Schizosaccharomyces pombe: one gene and its partner. The protein of the gene in region 1 interacts with the protein of each later gene in a biochemical or structural test. Each region holds a gene or a part of one and is shown in the gene's direction. Other genes may lie near its edges.

Region 1 (3,873 bases):
AGGTCGGTAGATGAACTTCTTCATCCGCTTAGGAGCATTAAAAGTACGGCTGAATTGGAGTGCATGAAAGAAGCAGCCAATATAAGTTCAAATGTTTACAGGGAAATTATGCGGAAAAGATTTGAGAAAGAAGCTGAAATGTCCGCGGAATTCAATTATCGGTTTTGTATTGGAGGCTGTGATAGATCCGCATATGTGCCTGTAGTAGCAGGTGGAAAAGTAAGTAATCAATTCCTGAAAATGCTGAATGCTATTACTTTAAGCTTTATTAACAAAGAAGAATGGCTTGACTATCCATTACACAATTAATAATGATATATTCCGTCCTGACGAAATGGTTTTGGTAGACGCTGGCGGTGTAAGTGCCTTCAATTTTTTGTCAATTAACACTTGCTTAACAGGAATTCGGTGGTTATGTAACAGATATCTCGAGGACTTGGCCCATCAACGGCAAATTTAGTACTGTACAAAGGGATTTATATCAAGCAGTTCTGAATGTGCAAAAGAAATGTATTAAGTATTGTTGCACCAGTAATGGCTGGAGCTTGGCTGATATTCACTTTGAAAGTGTTAAATTAATGCATGAAGAATTGAAGCAGGTCGGCATTCATGGAACTAAACGGGTAAGTTTGCTACTTCGCAAAATATTCGTACTAACTTCCTTGGCTATAGGAGATTACAGATATATTGTATCCGCATTCAATTGGGCATGAGATTGGACTAGAGATTCACGATTGTTCTACGAATAATGGTTACCAACCGTTGCGCAAAAACCAAGTTGTAAGTTGAAGTTCTTTTCAGATTATTTGCTAAACGGGGTTTAGATTACCATAGAACCCGGACTATATGTTCCAGAAGAAGACGGATGGCCTCAATGGGCTCAAGGAATAGCTATTCGAATTGAAGATAGCGTAATCGTTGGTGATGACAAGCCGTTCGTATTAACTAGTGCTGCTCCAAAAGAAATTGAAGAAATTGAAGCTTTGAAAAAGTAGAGATTGTGTTACCTATTGACTAAGAATTAGGACTACATCTGACTATCGTAGAATAAAAGACATTATTTTTGGACTAAGTTTCTTAGAAGTAAGATTGAAGGGAAAAAAATCTATATATACTGTTAAATTTTAATCATTACACGAATTTTTTTTTAATATTTTATTGAAAAGTCAACGTCAAAAATAAACATTAGTTTAGAGAAACAAGAAACGTTTTCAAAATAGTTCTGGCATTCGAAGTGTATGATTCCTCTGACTTCGACAGTATTTGCTCAATTCCTTGAAGACTTGACTCGATTTCCACTTTTCAGGTGCTTCCCTTTCTCCTGAACACCAGTATAGACTAAAAATTGGACGTTAAAATAGCGCACATTAAGTATATCAAGTTCATTTACTTACATATCCCAATCGGGCTCATCTAATAATTGATCATACTCTCGCAGAAGAGATACTGGATATTTATCAATCTGATCTTTGGCGAAATTAGATAAAAGCAAATCCGTTTCCAATATTCCCCGTTTTCTAGATTGATATTTAAGTCTTGCCAACATTGCGTCTCTAGTCTCGTAAGAGCGATTCACCCTTTTTAAATCACCTTTGGTATGCTCGAAGCGAAGTTGAGGCATTCTATTCATACATCTTGCACTTCTTAGAAGCGTCGTGATATTAGATAAGTTTGTCTTCCTTAACATTGTTGATATTTTCAAATGAACAACTAAGCGATTAACCAGACGACCTCCGAGGCTATATTTACTTATATATGAATAAAAAGAAAAAAAAATTAGGTTATAGCTCCTTTTTTTGGAAGATTTGGTAGACTATACAACTCTTTGGTGATAGTTTTGCGGCATTGTCTTCACCATCCGTATTCGTTTCTTACCATTCACCATTGTCCGCACCACATTATAGAAATTTCGAAAGATGGAAAAGGAGGCAATTTACAAACTCATTAGAGAATCTCCTCCAGGAGAAGTTAATCAAGTAGTTCATGGTTTGTTAAAGTGCTGAATACCTCAACATTCTAATGCATATAATAGATATACGCGACATCGGTCTAAGTGATGAGGAAGCAATTCACGAACAACTGAAGCTTTATCATGAAGACTACAACTCTTCTGTCAGCATATCGGATGACGAAAAAGTAATTATTTCAGCTGATAATCGTCTAGAGGGCAATCGCTATTATGATCAAGTTTTACAGAAATCATTTACCATTAATTATGAAACTATGGTAAGGTTAAATTTTTCAAATCTTTTTTTTGTGATAATTGTTAAATAGCTAACAGTATTCATAGGAAGCTGAAAACGTTGAAGATTATACCGAAGCCATAAAAATTCCCGATGAAATAGTAAAGCAAATTAAAAAGGTTGCTTCGGATCACTATCTATCTGATGTAACATTTGGAATCATCAAAAAAAGCGATGAAGTGGAATCGTTTACAATTGTTTTGGTTTCTTCAAAGTATAATCCCAAGAACTATTGGAACGGTTCGTGGCGCTGTATATGCAATTACAACGTTTCGGAAAAGAAACTGGAAGGCAGGTCGCATATTCGTGTTCATTACTATGAAGACGGAAATGTTTGGTTGGATGCATCCCGTCCTATTTCTGCTACAGTCGAGGAGACCAGTAAGCTTTATGAAGTGTTGGCTCAAGTCGAAAATGGAATTCAACAGTCCTTCAACGTTGAACTTTCTTCACTTAATGACAAAAAGTTTAAAGAATTGCGTCGTCAACTTCCAGTCACTCGCCAGAAAATTAATTGGGAAAACGTTAGTGGCATCCGTATGAGAAATACTTGAAACACTTATATGTGTTTATAAATTTTGGAAATTTTTTTGCGACGATATTTTTTAAGACGGTGATTCAAGCTGTTTCCTTTTCCTTCTTCCTAAATACATATACATTGTCGCTCGATATACGACTAATAATTACTAGTCGTTTACTTTCTAAAACTTTACAAGAGCAACTCACACGCTCTTTTCTTAAACTCTTATAAGTTTTAGGAAATTATTTTTTTACGATCAATAATACAAGTTCTTCATCATTTTTTTACCGCTCGTCACCAGTAATTTAAGGGCGTATTACTTTTTGTGTGTAAGCATCAGTCGTGCTATTTATCACCAGAATATGCTCTGAGCATCTGACTTTCACCTCTGACTTTGTGATAATATAAATAAATAATGAGGCATTATTAAATCACAAATCTTGTATCTCTAATTAACATTGATTTCATGGTTCAAGCAGCAATTAAAGCTTGAACTTGTGTAGACAGTTTGAGATAATATCACTTCTAAAATTAAACCCAAAAGTAGGTATTCCAACTAACTTATCGTTTTCTTCCGACAAGACTGGAATAGTAAACCTGATATGGCCCGGAACTTGTATACAAAATTTAAGAAACTCTTCCTTACTCAAAAATCCCTTCAATGAATTTAGATCTTTGGAAAGCAACGGTCTAAGTATAAGTGTAGTCTGTGTATTTTTGCAACTGTACTTTATCCAAAACCTGTGATCCCATAAAACATAACGATCAGGATTTATGGTTATAGTTTTTTTTTTCAATTCAGCTTTACTAAATGGTTGTCTGGAAATTTGGAGTTGTAATTTAGTGTCGTCCTTTATAGAAGAGGAAGTGAGTAGACATTTAGCAATTGTTAGCTTTTTTCCATCAAAAACTGAATTACAAAGGCTTACAACAGAAGATCGTTTAATCTGTCTGCAACTTGTAGTCAATGTTAGACACCTTAAGAGCAATTCTTCCTTAGTAAGATTAGAGTGCTTTTTGAGCTCATTTTTTGAAAAGCATAAAGATAATGTACCAGATGGCTGATGGTAGCTCACAATATTATCTTTTAGTATTTCATCAACTTTATTA
Region 2 (3,760 bases), 1.9 Mb from region 1:
AGGCATTTTCAACTCTCGTCTGAGAAAAAATTCCATCTTTACTACAAGACCAGAGTAGCTCTGTAGAAGCCCAATGCATCGTTGAAACAATACTATCATGACAACTGACGGTTCTGTATGGGATATAAGGCCTAGTAATATCCCAAACATTTATTGCGGTATCACCTACAAGAGAAGAGCTTGCAAGTTGATTAGAACCTCTCGATTGCTGATTAGCCGGTCGCCAACGAACACAATTGAGGGGACTGACATTATTGATAGTTATAAGGGACTTTTTTTTGTTGCTTGTGGAATCCCAAATACGAATAGTCTTATCTCTCCCGCATGACGCTAAAAAAACACCATTAGGACTATAATTAACACACAAAACAACACCATTATGTGCAGCTAATTTTAAAAAAGGAAGTTTTGGAAACCGGATATCCCATTTTTGCAAGATCCCACTGTCATAAGCGGCAACGAACTCATTTGGCTCAGAAGGGGAGAATACGACGTCTCGAGCAGCTTCAGAATTTCCACGAAAAGTGATTGTTGATGAGCTTTCCTTGTAATCCCAAAGCTTAATTAACCCATCCTGAGAGGCTGTTAAAACGTAAGACGGGTGAAATGAAGAGATATCCAATTTATGTACGGCTCGAGAATGCTCATTAAAGTCATAGAGAAGGGCTTCTAAATTAACATCCCATACATTGAGATTACCAAGCGGTGAACATGTAAAAATTAAATTTGAAGCAAAACTACTACCCCACTTTACATCATTGCAAGAGATGTGCTTTGTTTGTGTTGATTTTTGTAGAAGGTCAGAGATGCAAACAGGAGGCTTTGAAGAGTTTGGATTAACAGCTAGAACTTTTAGAAGCTCTCGGCCTGCTACACCCACTTTTGTACGGCTTTTATTTACCGAAATAGCACTGATGGAGGCCTTTACATCAACAACCCAGTCTTGGTAACTAACAAGTCCTTTGGATGACTTTACAGATGTGCTAGCAAGTTGGGCATAAGTAGGTCGCTGAAGGACGTTTGAGTTTCGTGAAGGCATTTACGAATTTGAAAACAAAATGAAGCTGGTAGAGTAGCAGCTGATGCCTTCTAAAATGATTTAGGAAATTTGCATACAGAAAAGGAAACAAGTTCTTAAATATCGGACAGGAAGTCAAAGAAATTGCTGAAGTGAAATGCAAGTATGGTGACACTCACCGTACATTGGTAAAATTAACGTTGCAAGATCGTTCAATAGTAAAAGTCAGAAAAAAGTAGACTATTCTTTATCAAACTATTTGTTTTGATACATTAACCAAAAAGATAAAGTAGAAAAGTAGAGGAGCAACTAACAGTAAGAAAAGTTTCTGCTAATGTAAATATCAAGTCCAATGTTAGTGAACAAATAAGAGCTTTCGAATTTTCAATTATTGAGGAAATTCAATCAGAACAATTACACATCGGAAGTTTTCAAAAGAATAAAAGTTCAAATATAATTTATTTTTACGAAGTTCAGTTGCTTATTGCTTCTAGTAAGTTTGGTTTTGTGAATTTACTTCTGAATCTCGCTATGAATCAGCAATATTGCATCCTGTAACGCTATACTGCATTCCTGTAGAGTTCATTATATAGGTTTCACATTTTACTATGGCATTTGTCGCGTATACATGACTTATGATTTAAAATTTCGTTTACGCTGATTTACAACATTTAAAGAATGGTACTGTTGAGCTTATCTTTCAATGCTTCTTTCGTAGAGTTATAGTAGCTACAATATTAAATATGAAGATAACATGTTATATATGACGATATAAGTAAGCAAAGCCGGTCAGTCCAATGTCAGTTGCACAGTGTCAATCGAAAAAGCGGTTTGCAGTACCTTGTCGGTTTGTATTTTGTAATATAATGATGCTTTCGAAATTAAATAAACAAGTCTTCATTCCATAAACGAATTGTGAAGCAAAGTAATTCGACTCTACTTTATATAGTACTAATTAGTAAGAACAAATCATCAGTTTACCGTACAAGAGTTAGTTTGCTGATAAAGAGTTTACGCAGTCTACTGTACCTTAAACTCAGATACGAATTGCGTAGCTGGAGTTACGCTAAATGATCTATTAAGTCCAGTTGCTACACATTGAATTAAGATGGCACTCGTCAGGCTTATACGAAGCCGCTTTTCACTAACCACCTCTGAAAAACCAAACTGTCATTGGGCGTTCCGTGATATAATTTCTTGGAACTTTTCTTTATTTTTATTTAAATTTTCGTGAGAAATGACGTCTCAACTTGAAAAAGAAGCAAGAGAATGGATCGAAGAAACTTTGCATACGAAATTGAATGCTCAGTTAGACTTACTGGATCAATTACAATCCGGGGTGATTCTTTGCAGAATTTGCAAAGAAGCTTTAGGCGCTAACATTCGATACAAAGAATCTAACATGCCTTTTGTCCAAATGGAAAACATATCTGCCTTCATTAACTATGCACAGCAAGTTGTACATGTTCCTTCACAAGATATGTTTCAAACTTCTGATTTATTTGAGCGGAGAAATGATGAACAGGTTTTAAGAAGTATTCACTCCTTTTCGCGCTATGCCGCGAAAATGTTTCCCGGCAAAGTTCGTGGTTTGGGTCCTAAATTGGCAGAGAAGAAGCCTCGTGTTTTCTCAGCACAGCAGCAGCGTGAGTTTCGAGAAGGCGTAAATAGTCTTCAGTATGGAAGCTTTGATATGCCGACACAGGGAACCGAGAAGATTGCATTTTCTAGACGCAGGGACCCGACCGGAAATATGTATTAGTCTTGTGTAGGGAAAGAGATTGAAGATTGTATAACTTTATATCTTCGCTTCTTGTACTTTTTGATAACTTATTTATTTTCATTCATTCGTAAAATCTGCCGAATCCATAATAGGAGTGAAACGTGAGGTCTTGTAAAAGATGTGTATAAATATAGAAGCTTAAGTTTTGCTTTAAATATTCATAATGATATGTTTTTTTTACGACACTAAAACATAAATTGAATTATAGTTTGATTCGTAGTTTGAAAACACATTTAAAATCTTATGTTTGGTGCTGTATTGCTAGATTTCTCGTCGTATCAAATGACTTAAAAAAGCAATACGACAATTCATTGTTTCATGAGCGTTTCCTTACAAAGCTGCAGAGAAAAAAAAAAATGTTGCAAAAATTAGTTATGGAAGTATCAGTGATTAATAAAAATGCACACTTTATTTATTTATTTTGTTATTTTTGTATTCAATTTCTTAAATGATAAGCAGGTCGGTAAACGTATTTACAAATAGTTTTGTGAGATATTATAAAAAAAAAATGTATGTACATTGAAAATTGCAGAAATACTAGAGATGTTGTTAAAATTGTTTGCTTAAAATTTACTCAAGTCAGAAATTAAATAAAAATTTTAAAGCTTGTATACAAAAGAAAATGCTGGTAGACCAGTTTTGCAAGAAACAAAGTAGATAATAAAATTGCATGTATTGCATTTGTTTAGACATTAGTGTTATTAAAAGAAATCAAACAAATAAGTTTTTAAACATTTAAAGTGTAACAAATCAAACTCTTTTAGAGTAGCAAAAAACCAAGGCTACTGCCATTTCCACATCGCTAAGAGTCAATATAGAGGAAAAAACGTTTGTACATTTTCAAAGTTTATTCTTCCGACAACTTATCACAAATCGAATTTTTATTTTCTAATTTGTACATGATGCTATATTGTTGCTCAACACAAGCAACAATTAGTATTATAGAAAAAAGCGCACAA

Evidence for each region. The genes of interacting proteins can lie anywhere in the genome.
Region 2: the proteins of acp1 (region 1) and stg1 form a complex in vitro, tested with the Schizosaccharomyces pombe proteins (one study listed by BioGRID).

Annotation. Positions count from the first base shown.
Region 1 is NC_003424.3:4,583,339-4,587,211, forward strand, and holds acp1 (F-actin-capping protein alpha subunit), read left to right. Parts: upstream 1-1,876; 5' UTR 1,877-1,916; coding exon 1,917-1,986; intron 1,987-2,032; coding exon 2,033-2,226; intron 2,227-2,290; coding exon 2,291-2,797; 3' UTR 2,798-3,198; downstream 3,199-3,873. Other genes in the region: peptidase Icp55, read left to right, coding at 1-219, 281-358, 402-623, 673-780, 825-995; succinate dehydrogenase subunit Emi5, read right to left, coding at 1,212-1,338, 1,395-1,687; til1 (tRNA(Ile)-lysidine synthetase family protein), read right to left, coding at 3,246-3,873. UniProt on the Schizosaccharomyces pombe protein: F-actin-capping proteins bind in a Ca(2+)-independent manner to the fast growing ends of actin filaments (barbed end) thereby blocking the exchange of subunits at these ends.
Region 2 is NC_003424.3:2,659,546-2,663,305, forward strand, and holds stg1 (SM22/transgelin-like actin-modulating protein Stg1), read left to right. Parts: upstream 1-2,151; 5' UTR 2,152-2,255; coding exon 2,256-2,780; 3' UTR 2,781-2,990; downstream 2,991-3,760. Other genes in the region: SEACAT complex subunit Sea2, read right to left, coding at 1-1,039. UniProt on the Schizosaccharomyces pombe protein: Has actin-binding and actin-bundling activity and is a component of the actin patch. Stabilizes actin filaments against disassembly. Cross-links F-actin and is required for the formation of the contractile F-actin ring.